Struthio camelus: one gene and its partner. The protein of the gene in region 1 interacts with the protein of each later gene in a pairwise test. Links are inferred from orthologs where the notes say so. Each region holds a gene or a part of one and is shown on either strand. Other genes may lie near its edges.

Region 1 (7,468 bases):
GATGCTATCATGGCCAGAATTTCTTGGTATATGTATATTAACATCACACACACGCCTTATATAAGATACTCGTACGCTGCAGAATTCAGCCACTGACAACGACAGGGAAAAAGTAAACTTCTACCTCCTCACTCAAGCACATGCTTATTAATCTGCAACTATTACACCTCATTACTCTTCCCATTAGAAACACGCTCCCTCCGCAAAAGGGGTAAGCTCACGCGAACTGAACCACGTTAGCTCTTGGGCTCTCAGTTTCACATTCGAGAGGGAGACGCAAATTTACTTCAGCTCAGGAAACCAATGTGTGAAAGGTAACCGCATCCTCAAAGCCAGTTTTAAGGCTGTTAAAGTCCATCTCCGCAGCATAAAGCTATCATTAGGGCATCTTTCAACACCACACTCCGATACGTGACTCAGTAATTAAAGAGAAAAATTACACGGGGCACCCTGGGTTCAGTCACTGGAAGGCTTACTTGGATGTAGCGTAGGGACATGCTGACCCAGCCTGTCATCTTTGAGCATGTGCAGAAGAGTGGTTTTGCCTGCATTATCCAAGCCCAGGAACACAAGTTTTCCAGACTTTTTGTACAAACCTGGAAGAAGGTAAAGAAAAAATCCGGCAGGCTTATTTTTGCACGCAGGCAGAAATGCTTCGATACTTGCCACTTTTTAGACACAAATCCCTCTCCCAAAACGTTACCGTCATCTGTGCATAGACAGTACTTCTAGAATAGATAGAGAACACCACAGGAAAACAAAACAAAACAAAACAGAACAGACAACAACCACCAAAAAACACGTCCTGGCTTTTACCAAGGCAATGCAAGATAACACCTACAACAACTGACGTTTTCTAAGGTCATATTTCTTGGAATAACATATTCTTCTCTCTGAGGACACGCTGTGTCTATGACAGAAGCATCAGATCGAGATGCTGAACTGCCCCTGTGTTTGACACATCCTATCAGAACAGCGTGCAGGAAAATATTCTTTACTTGCAGTGGATTACAGATCAATCTGCCACCCAGAAGGAGTATTTAAATGTGAAAATGGAATACACTCGGAGAAGATAGCACGGTAAGCAGGTTTACCGAAGAAAAAGTGCAAAGCATGAAACAATACAACATATTCTTTACACAAACAGTGACTTTTTTCCAACTCTAGGTATGCATCTGCCCTAAGCGAGTTCCATCATGTTTCCACCAGGACTTTTTAAAGAAAAAAAAAAAATCCTGAAAACTGTGAGAAGAGTCTTTTGTAGGCAAGTGACTGTTAATAAAGCCGTTCGAGTGACCGTTTCACTGCTACTGAAAGAAAAGGCTGGATTTGGATGTCAGGAATAAAGTAATCGCATCAAATTCCAGTGGTTCATTACAAAGAGAAGACACTCGGGATACCTTGACGTACCTGCAATAAGGGAGACCTCACAAAAGCCAGCCGCCTGGGGCATCTGCACGAGCATGGGATACCTCCCTCCCTTACATCCCAAGAAGCTCCCTGGACGGAGGGCACCTAGTCCTCCAGCAAGGACCGCGGTTGGATTCAAGACTTTGGCAGGAGGAGCCTTCCTACGGGCTCACCATCACCCGCAGCTCAGGAAATAACTGCTCGCAACGTGGTAAAGCAGGCAGCCAAAATACACGGGCCTCCCTAGCCTGGGCAACGGCGCCTTCGTCAGCGGCCAGCACGTTCTCCCCCGCGTGCTGGTAAGTTTGCTGGCTCGATAATGGGAAGCGACAGCTCGAGGAAAAGCAAGCTAGCCGGCCGCAGCAATGAGAAAAAAGCGTGAACTCTGGTGGAGCTGGTTAGCTTGGATACCAGGAGGAGGGCTGGAATTTACACCAGTTCCCTCCCTGACTAAGCAGCAGGTCTGCCTTCGGCAAGTCACTCGCAACAGGATGCACCGAGGCCCTCGGGCATCTCTCAGGTGCATTCGTGTTACCGGGCCGTCCACAAAGGCTCCTCCTCACCTTTTCGGAGGCCCAGGTTCGCACATCTGGGATTCCACATCTGTAAAAGCACTGCCCTCGGTGCCCACGCAGAGAGGGTGTGGGCAGCTCTGTGGCTCTTGCTTCTTTAGGCAGCTGCCTAACCACGTTATTGCTCTGCCCAGCTCTCCTAAGCTTCACCTTTCTTCACCGGTCTGGGAAGCAGACAGGCGGTTGCCCAACCAGGACTGAGAGGCCCTACCCTTAATGTTTGCAGTGAAGGGGAAGACTGAGTTATATCAGGTTACTGCACAAACCATCTGGCTGTGCACCGTGCACGTCCCGATAAGAATTAACAATCCGCTAAGTCGTAAACGTTTCTATGACTCTGTTAGTCTTTCTTGCCAGAAACGGCTGCTGTTGGAGACAGGGGACCGGACTAGACGGGCCTTTGGCGTCAGCCCAGTGGCCCTCACGTTTTCCGGTGGGAGCCGACCAACTTGAAGATATACTAAAAGTTTCTCGGTGGGGGGGGGGCGGGGGGGGGGGGGAAGGTTTATCAAGCGGCAAGTCTCTAACCAGACCTCACACTAGCCTAGTTTGCTCGGTTACGCGCTCCCGACTAGATCCACTTTAACCGCTGTCTTTTAAGTTGTATCAGCAACCGACAGGAGCCAAACGAGCGCAGAGAGTTAGCAGCTGGGGAACGCAGAGCGCCCTACAGCTCGAGGGGAGCTCTGGGCTTTTTTAAAAAAATAAATAAAAAAAAGGGAAGAAGAAGAAGAATTACCCCAGCTGGCAGGGGCGGCTGGCATTACCTAGAAACTGCAGCACGCTGCTGAAGCCGTTGTAGATCCATTCGAAGATGAACGACATGGCTGAAGACGACGCGCCTGCAGGGACACAACCGACACGCGTCTCCGGTGAGAGGGGCAGCGCCTGTGCGCCAGCACGGCGAAGGCGGCGCGTCGGGCCGGGCCGGGCCGGGCCGGGCCGGGCCGGGCCGCCGCGCCTCGACGCCGCGGCCGGGCGGGGGAAGCGGGGGAGGCCCCGCCTTCGCCGCCTTCGCCTTCGCCGCCGCCCCGGCCCCGGCCCCGGCCCCGGCCGCCCCTCACCTCCGGCCGCGGCCCCAGCGACTCCCCCGCCTCGGCAGCCGCCACCTCCCCGCCGGAAATGCGTCACCCCGCGCGCCCCGCCCCTTCCGGCCGCGCCGGCGCCGCGCTGGCTCCCACGTCGGCCCCGCTGGGACCGCCCCCCGCCCCGCCCCGCCCTCCCCTCGCCTCCCCCCACGTGACCCGCCGGCGGCTCCCCCGGGCCGGGAGCAGGAAGGAGGCGGCGCCGGTGCCGGTCTCGGCAGCCCTTTTATTGCTCGCCTACCGCCCGCGCCCCCCCCCCCGTCCCCCTCTACGGGGACGGCGCGAGGCCCGGTTTCACGAGTCGCACCTTCCGGCCTGCACGCGACCTGCACACACCGACACACACGTGGCGGGTAGGTACACAAGTCTAATTAGAATAAGTTACAGGCAAGGTCTTCTTGTCGACAGTGAAGCTATTTCTCTATTCCCGCACGTAGTAGCTTCTTGGGGAGAAGAACGCAGTCGTTCCACCATCCGTCGTTCAGCTTCAGTTTTTCTGGTAATAGAACCACCTGTCAACTGTGTTGAGGAAGGGAAAGGAGATTTAATCCTCAAGCAGCCACACACTTATCAAATACAGTCATAGGCTACAAGCCTCCCTAGCAGCACTATCCCATCTGGTTCGGGGCCAACTGCTACTCCCTTCCTCGCTCCCGGAGCGGTCGAAGCTGTGCTCAGGCGCTTGCAGTGCTTCCTCTGCAGCCCACAGCACCTTTCTGTGAGACAGCACAGCCTAGCATCCAAAACGCTTCTGCTATGTACAGAAGCAAAATTAAGAGACAGCGATTGAATTTTACGCCTCAGCGCTGAGGTGAGTAGTCTACCTGTCCTACTCCTGCGGACCCAGGGGATGGACTGCTCATTAGTGAAGGCCTCATCATGCCAGTTTTAAGGCATCTTCATAGCTATGACCCACTGCTCTCCAAGACAGGGAGCCGTTCCTCAGCATCCTTCACAAGATGATTCCCTGCTGCTCGCTGTGCGGAGCAGACAAGCATTTCCATCAGCTACAGTACAGAAGCGTTAGAAGGGGTCTTTTCACCTTTCCCCAGGCGGCCGTGCATAGGCCAGCCTCGGTGTGCAGGAGGGACAGTGGTATCCCACGTGCCGCTGCAGCAAGCCGTGTTCATAAACACTACGAGTGAGCCAACACAGCAAAACTCCTGGTATGATCTGACAAGCACAGCACTGTGGGCATCCCCTTCAACTCCATATTACTTCAGGGGTTTCCACTGGCTAACTTCTTCATACTCCCAATAGGCTCTTGCAGCCCAGTTGATATCTGCACATGTATTTGTTTTCTGAGGAAGTCACCCTTACTCAGTTTACCATTACTTCCAAAAGGGGATAACTGCACATGACTCATGCAGGGTGAGGGCAGCAATCCAGAGCTAGCTCGGATTCCCTGACGCTCAGCTGTCTGACCCGGGAAGGTAAAACTCATTTTACTGCAGACTCCCGTGCCAGCACAGAAGACACAATTACGCGCCTTCAATTTCTTTTCACGTGACCCACAAAGAGACTCAAAATGACAGCTTCGTTCAGGCATCCTCCAGCCATACAGCTGCGAGTTCTCAGCTCTTCGCGAGACAGCGTCGTTAGGTCTTACTTGCCCCTGGGTCTTGTCCCTATTACAGCAACATCCTGATTTCACACATAAGGTGCCTCCACAACCTCGCGCAGAAGGAAAGGAAGGCAGCTGACCAGGACTTGTCCCACAGTTGCAGTTTTCTTACGGAGTTGTGCCTTATGTGACACATTACGTTCCAGACACATGCAAAGAGCCTTTCTACCAGCTTGTAGATGACACTTTTCAGTGACAGGATTCTGATCAGCAGGTTAAGCAGCAACTGGAGTACCAAATTCATGACTAGCTTCTACCACTCCTCTCCATGGAGAGGAGGTACTTTCCTTCTTCAGTTCACCTGCACTTTCCTTATACTGATACAAAAAAAAAAAAAAGCCTCGTTTCTGAGGCACTGATGAAAGTGCTCTGCTGCTATTGTAACACTTCAGTCCTTTGAAGTGCTTTTCTTCCAGCTCCAAGGACCTGTCGTGAGCCACGTGCCTTTGGGAGCAAACTAGAGCATCTCAGGTCTCCTACTTACTGCTCATATACCAGCCTCATGTACTTAAATAAGGAATTAAGGCAACAATAGAAGTTATTCAGGTATTAAACAGCATTGCTGACAGAAGTTAGATCCGACAAGGGCTTTCATTTTTCCTAGTGCCAGAACCATATCATAACTACCAGTTAAGACCCTCATTTTCCTATTGATAATTCCTTGGCGGAAGCCTCCACTCTGCTTTGCAACGTAACGTGGGTTTTGGAGACTTACCTTCAGGTGGGATTGGGTTGGCAGCTTTACATGGTGGTGCCTGAAACAACAAGAGTATTAGCAGGGAGAAACTGTCAGAGCAATTGAAGTTTAACTCTACACCTGAAGCTCACTAAGCATCATTTCGAGATGCACACTGAGCGCAGTGTAAAATCTAGGCTGCATAAATTGCTCTGTGGCAGTCAGTGCTGGACAACTATGAGAAAATAAGCTCACGTACAACATGAGTCCTGTCATCACCACTCAGCCTCCTCATTCTGTACGTGTCCTACGTGCCTGAGGTGCTCTGCTCTAAACACAAGCAGCCATTCACTCCGCTCATATTGTAAAGCCATCTGTTTCAAAACACAGTTACCGCTCCACTGTCTATGCACTTGTCTGTAGCCTGCTCTTAAAAAGAAGATAAAAAACCCACCAACACACAACGTGCTGGTGGAATACAAGTGGAAACGACTTTTCTAGTTACACTTCCATACATCGAGGCGATAGTTTCTTTTTGATTCTCCTGTCCCATTCCTCTAACTGCTTTCAAGTTGCCAATAACAGTGTTTCACAAGCTTAGGGAGACTCAGATGAGTCCCGAATCTGGACGGGGCCAGTCCACTGACTTCAAGCCTTTCATCATAAAGGATCCAGGGCCCCTGGCTGCCAGTCTCTCAGAAGTCAGGCTTTCTAATCAGAAGTGGTGACCCGTACTGTGAAACTCCTGAAAGGTCAAATACTTAAACAGTCTTTGAACAGCTGAGAGCAAAGCTATAGTTCAGAAATTCAGCCCCACAGAAAGCCTGTTTTGGATTCCATCCCCCCAATGACTCCAAGGGCAAGGAGGCGGCTCTGGAAGAATGTCTGACTGTCTCTACATCCTTCTTCATATTCAGCCAGAAACAGGTGCCAGGTCCAGTCATCCGAAAAATTCCGAGTATTCAAAACACCATTCATAGAGGGAGGACTGCTTATGGTACCACACAAATGACTTTATTTTGTCCGACACTGAAGCTGGGGGAAGGATACTTGGACCAATTTGTACTTACTGCATCCACAGTAGCTTTTGCACACTCTTGACTACAGCAAAAAGGGCTGTCTGACACAGTCAGATTCGTGCTAGAAGAGAAAGGTTACTTGTGAGAACGTGAAAGCTAAGTTTCTCCTCCGAGAGTATTAAACAATGGAATACCAAGAAACACGCTTGAGTTGCCAAATTTAAGGGGAAGACCAGCAGAGTCAGTGAGCTCCTAACAGAAAGGAAGTCTATGGTCAGGAAAGCAAGTTTCAGCCCTGTTTGTTTAGGAGAAAGAAATATGTGCTGTAACATCAGTGTTCACCTACCAGTTGATCTCCCCGCCGTCCGTTTTTTTAGCTATTAAAGCTTTCCAGTGTTCATGAGTGCTTTTGATGACGTTCACTGCAAAATCCTAAAGTTGAAGATGAGAACAAACATCGCGTTATTATGTAAATACTAGACCACGTGCCCCAGACTATCAGTTACATGGAATGAGAGGCCTGTATTTACAGGCTGGTTTTAGATAGTTTCTAACTCAGGAAGGTACCCAAAGAGACCTCTTTCACGCCTTCCATGAGTAGCAGCTGAAACAATGGGGATTTTATAACATGAACTGTTTTAACTTCAAGATGGGAGGACAGGCTAAGGTCACCTAGTGAGCCTGAAGCCAAGAGAAACTGAATCCAGATATTCTAGTCTCGGGCAAGGGCTACAGTACAAAAGCACCCCCCTCCTGCTCCTCCCACTCAGTCTGTCTAAAGACAAGAGTGGATCTTGACCCACCTGCAGCCTTTCCTCCGCTCTAAGCAAGTCACTCAGCCGCTGCCCACGTCAACAGGAAGAGACACGCACCTACTCTAGCTTTGCAAGTATTTAAAAATGAATCCGCTTCCAATCATATCTCACTTTTTTCTTAAAAAGTGGTATGTACTCAAGCATTAATCTGTCAGCTAGAGAAGGAAGCATACACAGTCCTTTGTTAGCACAAACACCAGGAATAAATATCCTGGTTTGATACTACAGACGAAGCCAAATAAAACACTACAGGAACGCGCACAAGGT
Region 2 (7,807 bases), on another chromosome or scaffold:
GTCCCCCAAAGAGATGCTCACACAACCTCACTGTGCCCTGGGGCTGTGCTGTGGAGCAGACATGCTCCAAATAAAGGGGCAGGCTGACCCTGGGTTTTGGACAGGGATGGAGAAAGGGGCAAGTATTAAACAAATGGCTACAGTGTTTCTAGGCAGCCCTGGTCCAGTTCCAGCAGCCTGATTGACACCAGGATGTGCAGTTAGAGCAACACTGGCCTGCAGACCGCCTGGGCCTGGGTCCCAGGGGACCTTTACTGGCCCTCCTTTCTGCTGGGTGGCCAAATTCCAAAGACAGCAAACAAAGCAGTTGAGACCAGCTCTTCCCTCCAGAGAGCACAAGTGAGGGACAAAGGCCCCAAGGAATTAAGTTATGTCTGCACAGTGCTCAGCAGCAACTCTGTTTCCCAGGTGAGGAAACCGAGGTACAGGGAGGAGAAGGACATGTCCAAAGTCTCAAGGGTTGGTGAGAGAGTCAGGGCCAGAAAGGGTGTCTCCATGCTCAGGAGGGTTCCAGCTGGCCCAGGCTGTTAGCTTGTCCCAGCTCGCAGCCTTTGAGGGTTCTCCCCACCTACCTGGCATATTTCTGGAAGCCGATCTCCTTGGGGATGGAGAGAGGCAGGATGAGGAGGAAGGCAGTGATGCTGATGGTGAACTTGCGGTCTGTGTACCAGTGGCTGCTCCCTGCTCCCTCAGGCTCTGTCACGAGCGCAGCAATGACTGTGGAGGAGAGCTGAGGCTGTCAGAGTGCAAGACAAGGACATCTCCCCTTTCCAGGAGAACGGAGGGCAATGGAGTTTTCCTCAGGACACTTACTCTTGTCCTCTTGATCTCCGATGATGATGAGGAAAGCAATGCAAGTGCCAAAGGTGTAAACAGCGATAGCTACCTCGCACAGCACTCCGGGTACCTTCCCACACACAGCCCACACCACCTCCTGGTACGTCCGCTCATTGCTGGCCTGCGAGCAGTACGCCAGGATGACTAGGCCTCCAATGATGAAGACCAGCATGCACTGGAGAGGGGAGGAAACATGGAGGGGGCACAGTGAGGGAATGGCATGCCAAGGTCCCCGAAGCCACCCCAGATACCCAGCCCCAAACATACACAGCACCTCTGGTGTCCCTCAGAGCCCTGCCCCACACCTCACCAAGCAGAGCTCCCTCTCAGGGGCCCACAGTCTCTCCCATCCTTCACCAGGATCTCCAGCTCCCACCCGTGCACCCCTCCCCAGGGTGGAACATGGGGCCCTCCCTTCCCTGCCCTCTCACCATCTGCAGCGTGATGCCTGCAGCCACACCACCAGCCATGTTGAAGGCAGCGGGGAAGTTGAGCAACCCAGCCCCAAGGGCAGCGTTCACCACGATGAAGACAGCTCCCAGAGCGGAGGTGGCCCCCAGACTGTCTCCTTGGCTCTCTCCACTCTTGGGTACCGTCTCCACACTGGGGCTCTGTAGGAGCCTGGCCCGTTCCCCAGCATCAGCACTCCACTCCCAGTCCTTGTAGTCACTGTTGATGCTCCCGGTGCCCTGAGCCATCTTCCGTCTGGTGGCAAGATCCTTCCCTCCTACTGCAACACACGCTGCCCGCTGCGTCCCACCAGTGTTCCCACACCAGGCTCAGCCAACTGCCATGAGGAGCGTTTCCAGCAGCACTAGCTCCATCAAGCAGGGTAGTAGCCAACAACCAGGCTGGGACCACAGCAGTGCAGAAGTACAGAAGATCCCTTTGCTGATCCTAGAAGGGACACAAAAGGGGCCCAATGAGTTGGTTAAGGATTGTCGGAAAACTGCGTCATGCCTTGCTGTCATGCAGGCTCCCCCCTCCTCTGTGCCTGGGGATGGGCAACCCAACGGGATCAACACAAAAGCCTCTGGTGTCCTGCAGTCTACATTAACAGGAAGCAACCCAGGCATCAGACAGGGGCACACATGAAATCCATTCACTGGGTCTCAGCTCATGGGCCACTGCACTCAGGCACCCTAATTTCAGCAAAGATGCTACAGGATGGAGGGAGACAGGAGGAGAACTCACCTCTTGTCCTCTGAATTCAGGTTGAGGACGCTACTGCCTTTTGATAGTGGATTGCGCCCTGGTCACACAGCTGGGGAGCTGGGACCTCATCACAGGACTCACATTTCTGCAGGCACGAGACCCAGCGTCACAGCTCACTTCCTGATTTCCAGCCCCAAATTCTGCAAGCTCTGCAAGAGCTGCCATGCATGTGCTTTCTGGGTAAAGTTCAGGAACTGGCTCAATGAGAACGACCCGCACACACAGCAGGGCACATCATGTAACCAAGAAAAACAGGATCGGCACCCGCTGCCGCAAACAGCCTCCCCTCCCCATGTGCACCCAGCCTGCCATGGGATGACCGTCAGCACAAGATGTCTCAGAAGCGTTTGGAGAAGAGCCTACACCTGAAGAACTGGTGTTTCCATCACTAAAGACCCTGGGAGTTGGACAGTCCAGATCTAACCCCATTGCCTCTTTGAGCTCAAGATCAGCTCTCCAAACCCTCCGCAGACACTGAGGGAGCCTGGCAGGACCTCACGGGGACCTTCAGAGCCACAAGAAATCTCTTTTTCCTTCGACTCTTCCTGACCAAGTGAACCAATTTATTGCCGTGCGTTTGCTACAGATCCTCTTCAAAGCTTTCTGGGAAAAGAGGAAGAACCGCAGAACTGGGCAAAGGGAGAAGGACGACAGCTACTCTCATCTGGAAGGAGGAGCGCAAGGGGGAGAGATGCCGAGTCGCCAGGCTGGCGGGTCGGCTGGCGTGCGTGGGGTCCGTGGGGGCCTGGCTCTAGCTGCCGCCTGGCTGAGGGGCGGCCGGCGCTTCCCTCCTCGCCGGAGAAAGGCGCTGGCAGCCGAGGGGCTCGCCCCGCCGCCGCCGCCGCCGCCGCCGCCGCCCCACTAGGGCCGGGCTGCCCGGCTGCCCTGTCGCTCCGGGGCAGGAGACACGCTCACCCCAGGCCTCGTACGGGCCCGCTGTCCCCTCTGCCCTGGCGTGGGCCGCGCCGCCCCACGGTCACGGGCCTGGCTGTCCCCCCGGCCCAGCCCGGCCCGGCGGCGGCGGAGAGACCGCGGACGCCCCTTACCCGCCTCACTCACCCGGGCGGCCGGCGCGGCGCCGCTCCGCTCCGGCCCGCTCGGCCCCGGCGCTCCCCGCGGCGGCGCAGCCCCGGCACCGCCCGGCCCGCTGCACGCCGGGGGTTGTAGTCCGCCCGCCGCCGCCGCCCGCGGCTAGGGCCTGGCGCGCTCGCCCCGCCCGGGGCCCTTCCCAGCCGCTCGCCGGGGCGCAGCATCAGCAAGGGCAGGCAGCTTCCTTGCCTGCCGCGATCCTCGCTCCCCGCCGCGGCTCTGGCTCCTGCCTCCGTGTGTGGTGTCGGAGGCCGGCAGCACCCCCAGGCCCAGCCCGGCCTCAACATCGGCAGGGCAGGAGACAGAGGGGCTGTTCTGTTTGCTGCCCCCTGGGACGGAGCAGCCACAAGCAGCTGCTGCTGGCGCCGGCACAGGCAGGGCTGCAGCATCCGAGGGCCTTGGGAACACGGCCCCAAGCCCCCTTGCCCCTCAGGCCAGGAGAAGCAGGAGCACCCCCAAACACCAGTCCGTCTCCCCCCCCTCCCCCCCAGCTGCTAAAAACAGCTTCTTCTGTGCCATCGTTGCCATTTTATGGCTGAAACGTAAGCCACTGCCACGTCACCTAGGCAGTGGCTCAGAGAGGAGGCGGCAGCAAAGGACAGGCAGAAAGCAACCGCCGTGCTCCAGCTCTATTTTTATTGTAACAGAGAACAGGCTGCAGAAAGGCCTAATGATTATACAGGGTAAAAAGGCTCTCCGAAACCAGGGAAGACAGGCTCCAGAGCAGGGCAGAACGCAGGAGCACAGCACAAGAACCCACCATCCTACAGCACGATGGGCCAGCACCCAGAGCAGCAGCACAGAAAGCGGTTATTGCACAAATTGGAGAGAGGCAGAGGCTGTAGGCATCGGGCCATGTAAACAATCATTGCAGTTAAAGTGCAAACTGTCTGCTCTGGGGCAACGGGAGGCTCCAGCCCTGCGTGGCTTGTGTAAGCAGCTCCTCCTCTGCCAGAAAGTGCAGTGACAGCATGTGCTAGACAGACCCATCCCAGCTCTGAGGGGAACAAATTTGCACTGGTAAGGAAGGAAAAACAAGGACTGCTCTGCTAAACATCCTAGTGCAACCACAAAGGAGAAAGATGTCAGTTGGGAGATCAGAGCCACAGGGTGGAGAAAGCTCATTTCGGTACAAAAATATCCCCTTGGTGTCTGCCTAGGGACCAACCTGTGCTTGCTGCAAGCAAAAACTCCACCTTGCTTCAGTGGCTGGGCACAGGGCAGACTGCCTTTGCGCACTCACACTCTCCCCAGAGAGAACAAACAAACAAACAAAAAAAAAAAAAGAAACACAACAGCTACGTTCAGCTGAGTAGGCTGCAATTTTAGCTGCACGACCCTAACTGCCACCTGGAGCAGTCTCAGTCCACGTGCCCTGGCGCGTTCAGGACACAAGGTTGGGTGGGAACTGCACTGTTTGTGGGGGACCCTTCAAAGACAGGGTTTCACTGGCCATATGAGATCCCCTGTGCTGCCACATCCCCGAGAGGGAATGTTTGGTACGTGGAAGGGGCGGGATCCAGCGGTACTATTATAGCAGGAACTCAACACAGCCATGTGTCAGCTTACTTTAGATGAAAGATTGGAGTCCAGGTCTGCCCTATAGGCAGGGTCTGCCCTTGCCCTCTCAAGTCTCAGTTTAAAAAGAGAGAACGTTTTCTTGAGTCACCAGCTCTCAGACTTCCCTCAGGATCTTTCCTCCCTGCTTTCTAACAGCACCCGAAGTCTGGCTGAACACAGCAGACAAGAGGGGGACACCATGGTACACACCCCCATGTGAGGGTGCACATGGCTGGCCCCACATCTTGGCTCATGGCTTTGGGGGACACACACACATACACAGACTCTTCTTTGCAGGGAGGACTGATGGGGTTGATACAGAAACTCGGAGAGGCAAAAACCAACAAAGAGTAGTTTTCAGAGTATGTTCTTATTGAGGGGCAAGTAATTGTTTCACCTTGGAGTATGGGAGCGAAGCCAGGAGAACCAGGCAGGTTTAGAGAAATGACATTGGCCTGCCTCACGCACCAACACCACTGTGAATGACACCTGAGAGGAGGTTCCCAGCTGGAAAGAGCTAAGCCAAGAATGCAGCAGATTTTAGTAGTGAAAAGTCCTCAAAGCCTTTGTGCTGGCTGTCAGAGGGCAGCCTTCAGTGCTGCCTGGCCCTTGGCTAGACCAAAGCCTAGCAGCAGAAGGGGGAAGGAGGACAGAACTTGCAGACAGCGGGGACAGGCTGGGGAAGTCACAGGAGTGCACCTCAGCAGCTCTCCCACTCAGCCCACCCCGCTGCCCCTCCACTGCTGGCAAGTGGCAAACAGCCTTACAAAGCCTTCTCATGGAGAAATGAGTGTGAGGATGCACTTGTGCCTACACTGGTAGGATAGCAGGGTGCTAACCATTTGCTTCCTCCACTGCAGAGGGGTGCTGGGGCAGATGGAGAAAGGATGAACAGCAGGGGAGAATGGTTCTGATGGGAGTAGAAGCCAGCAATGGTGCCCCCACTCAGCAATGTAGGGTGATTTTGACTAGGCCTCTACAACAATTCATCTACAAGATACATTCAGCAGCGGCGTTAAGTGCTGTGGTTGGAAGTATTCTGCTTGCTTCCTTCCTCTCCCGTTCTCCCATCAGCAACAAGAGACAGGGGAAGGGAAGGCCAACAGCTCCAGGGCACACCTTTACTTGGTGACTTGATGGATGGCGTGAGCCAGGTAGCCCACATTGCCCGATGTAACTCCCGCCACAGAGATTCGGCCGTCCTTCGTCATATAGATGGAGAACTCCTTGGTCAGCCGCTCCACCTGGGATGAAAGAGCAGAGTTCAAAAGGTAGGCCAAGCTCTACTCTGTTAACAGAGTCCAAATCCATCCAGTTTGCCAGAAACAAAAGCAACCGAATGCCAGCAGGCGCTGAACCCACACCAACTACCTGCAGAGCCAGCGGTGCATGTCAGGAAAAAAAAGATGCTGCTCAGCTCTTGGGCAACACACAAGCACTTCAGATGTTCAGCCAGGACAGTCACCTCACTTGAGCTGACCCTCAAGGTCACCTCAGAGTGGCATTAAATGATCGCTTCCTCTGACAGATAAGCAGGCTACATTTGCTTTCAACCTCCATAAGCACAGCAGGGAGCAGGGCAGGACACAGGTCTCCAAGATGCTCCAGTGCTGCAGGCTTGGAGGATGGTCCTCATGGAGGGGGGACTGTTCATATGGGCTCATTTTAGCACAGTCAAGATCCATCTGGAAAGGATCACAAACACCCTGAGGCCACAAGAACAGTGTTTACCTGCTCAGGCTTCAGCCCTGTGAAGCAGAACATGCCAATTTGGTCAGTGATGTGCTGCCAGTTGTGGGAAGATCCCTCTTTCTTGAGGTTGGACACGAGCTGAGTTCGCATGCTGATGATCCGGTCGGCCATGCTCTTCACCTCCACCAGCCTGAGAAGGCAACCCAGGAACCACTCAGAGCACAGCCGGGATGCACTGACACTGCTCCTTCCCCAACTGCCTGGGAAGCAACCTTTCCTCAAGCCTGAGGAAGCCTCACCCTCCCCCCCCCCCCAAAAACATAGGATGTATAACCCAACCACTGTCCACGGGCACACGTTCTCTAGGTGGCACACACAGTAGGCAGGTGAGCAAAGCTCAGAGCATGAACCTACTGCTCCAGCTGGGGAGCTGCTCCTTTCTCCTGGTATCTGGAGGTGACTGCTATTTATTTATTCCACAGCTGCTGCACAGTGCTAACAGGGTCTCAGCACCTCTCACTTCCAAAAGACGCTGGAGACCTGGAGGGCTCGTGGCAGCACTGTCCAAAACCACATAGGATAGTATCTGGGGATACATGGAGAGGACGGGGGACCTCTCAGAGCAGGCAGACATTCCCTGCTCCAAGGCAGCACACCTAGGAGATGTCTCTGTCAGGCCCTGCCTCAGGCACAAGCGTCAGCCTGCCAAAGGAGCACAGTTCCCAGCAAGGCCACAATACACAGCGAGCCTTTGTTCTGCAGGGCCAGCTTCCTGCAGGGACTCAACACCAAGAGCCTGGGAGGGCAGCACAGGCTGATGCCAGGCAGCAGGCTTGGGGTGTGGAGGTTACATTCTTCTGTCTTATTCCCAGGGGACTTAAACTTCCACATCCCCCATGTGAGACATATTAAGTGACTACAATGCGTTAGTCAGCCTTCTGCACTCCTTGGACAGGCAGCTCCTGCAGCCTTCAATCCCGGTGGAGCCTTATCCCCTTTAGTGTGCTCTGCCCTGGTAACACAAGGGGAACCCACATGTGCTCGGCTGGACTGATCCTAGCTGATGCCAGGACACAAGCATCTTAGTAGGCTCCCATTCCTCCGGGGCAAAGGAGTGGCACAAGCTTCTGACTGTACCCCTGAAGCGGTGAACTGCCTGTGACACTGCCAAGCAGCAAGCACACCACAAGGCTAGCACAGAGAGACTTCACATCTTGCTACCGTGAACATTAGGGGTTCCCTCTTACCACTCCTTCCGCAGGTCAGGGCTGTTCAGGATGAGAGAGGCGATGCGGGCTCCATTGATGGGAGGGTTGGAGTACATGGGGCGGATAAGGATCTTCAACTGCGACTCAACCCTCTTGGCTTCTTCTGCATCACTGCAGATCACCGTGAAGGCACCCACACGCTCCCC

What was found.
Region 2: the proteins of SAR1A (region 1) and SLC38A7 interact in binary tests that used the Homo sapiens proteins (3 or more experiments, as listed by UniProt). The link is inferred for Struthio camelus from reciprocal best matches to the Homo sapiens genes SAR1A and SLC38A7.

The regions. Positions count from the first base shown.
Region 1 is NC_090948.1:40,234,362-40,241,829, reverse strand, and holds the start of SAR1A (small COPII coat GTPase SAR1A), read right to left. Parts: upstream 3,135-7,468; 5' UTR 3,047-3,134; intron 2,825-3,046; 5' UTR 2,808-2,824; coding exon 2,750-2,807; intron 597-2,749; coding exon 477-596; intron 1-476. Other genes in the region: PPA1 (inorganic pyrophosphatase), read right to left, coding at 3,555-3,586, 5,407-5,446, 6,438-6,507, 6,733-6,818. UniProt on the Homo sapiens protein: Small GTPase that cycles between an active GTP-bound and an inactive GDP-bound state and mainly functions in vesicle-mediated endoplasmic reticulum (ER) to Golgi transport.
Region 2 is NC_090951.1:23,112,408-23,120,214, reverse strand, and holds the start of SLC38A7 (sodium-coupled neutral amino acid transporter 7), read right to left. Parts: upstream 3,187-7,807; 5' UTR 3,099-3,186; intron 2,247-3,098; exon of another isoform or gene 2,032-2,246; intron 1,735-2,031; 5' UTR 1,536-1,734; coding exon 1,269-1,535; intron 1,013-1,268; coding exon 814-1,012; intron 718-813; coding exon 573-717; intron 1-572. Other genes in the region: GOT2 (aspartate aminotransferase, mitochondrial), read right to left, coding at 5,823-5,945, 6,433-6,583, 7,641-7,806. UniProt on the Homo sapiens protein: Symporter that selectively cotransports sodium ions and amino acids, such as L-glutamine and L-asparagine from the lysosome into the cytoplasm and may participates in mTORC1 activation. The transport activity requires an acidic lysosomal lumen.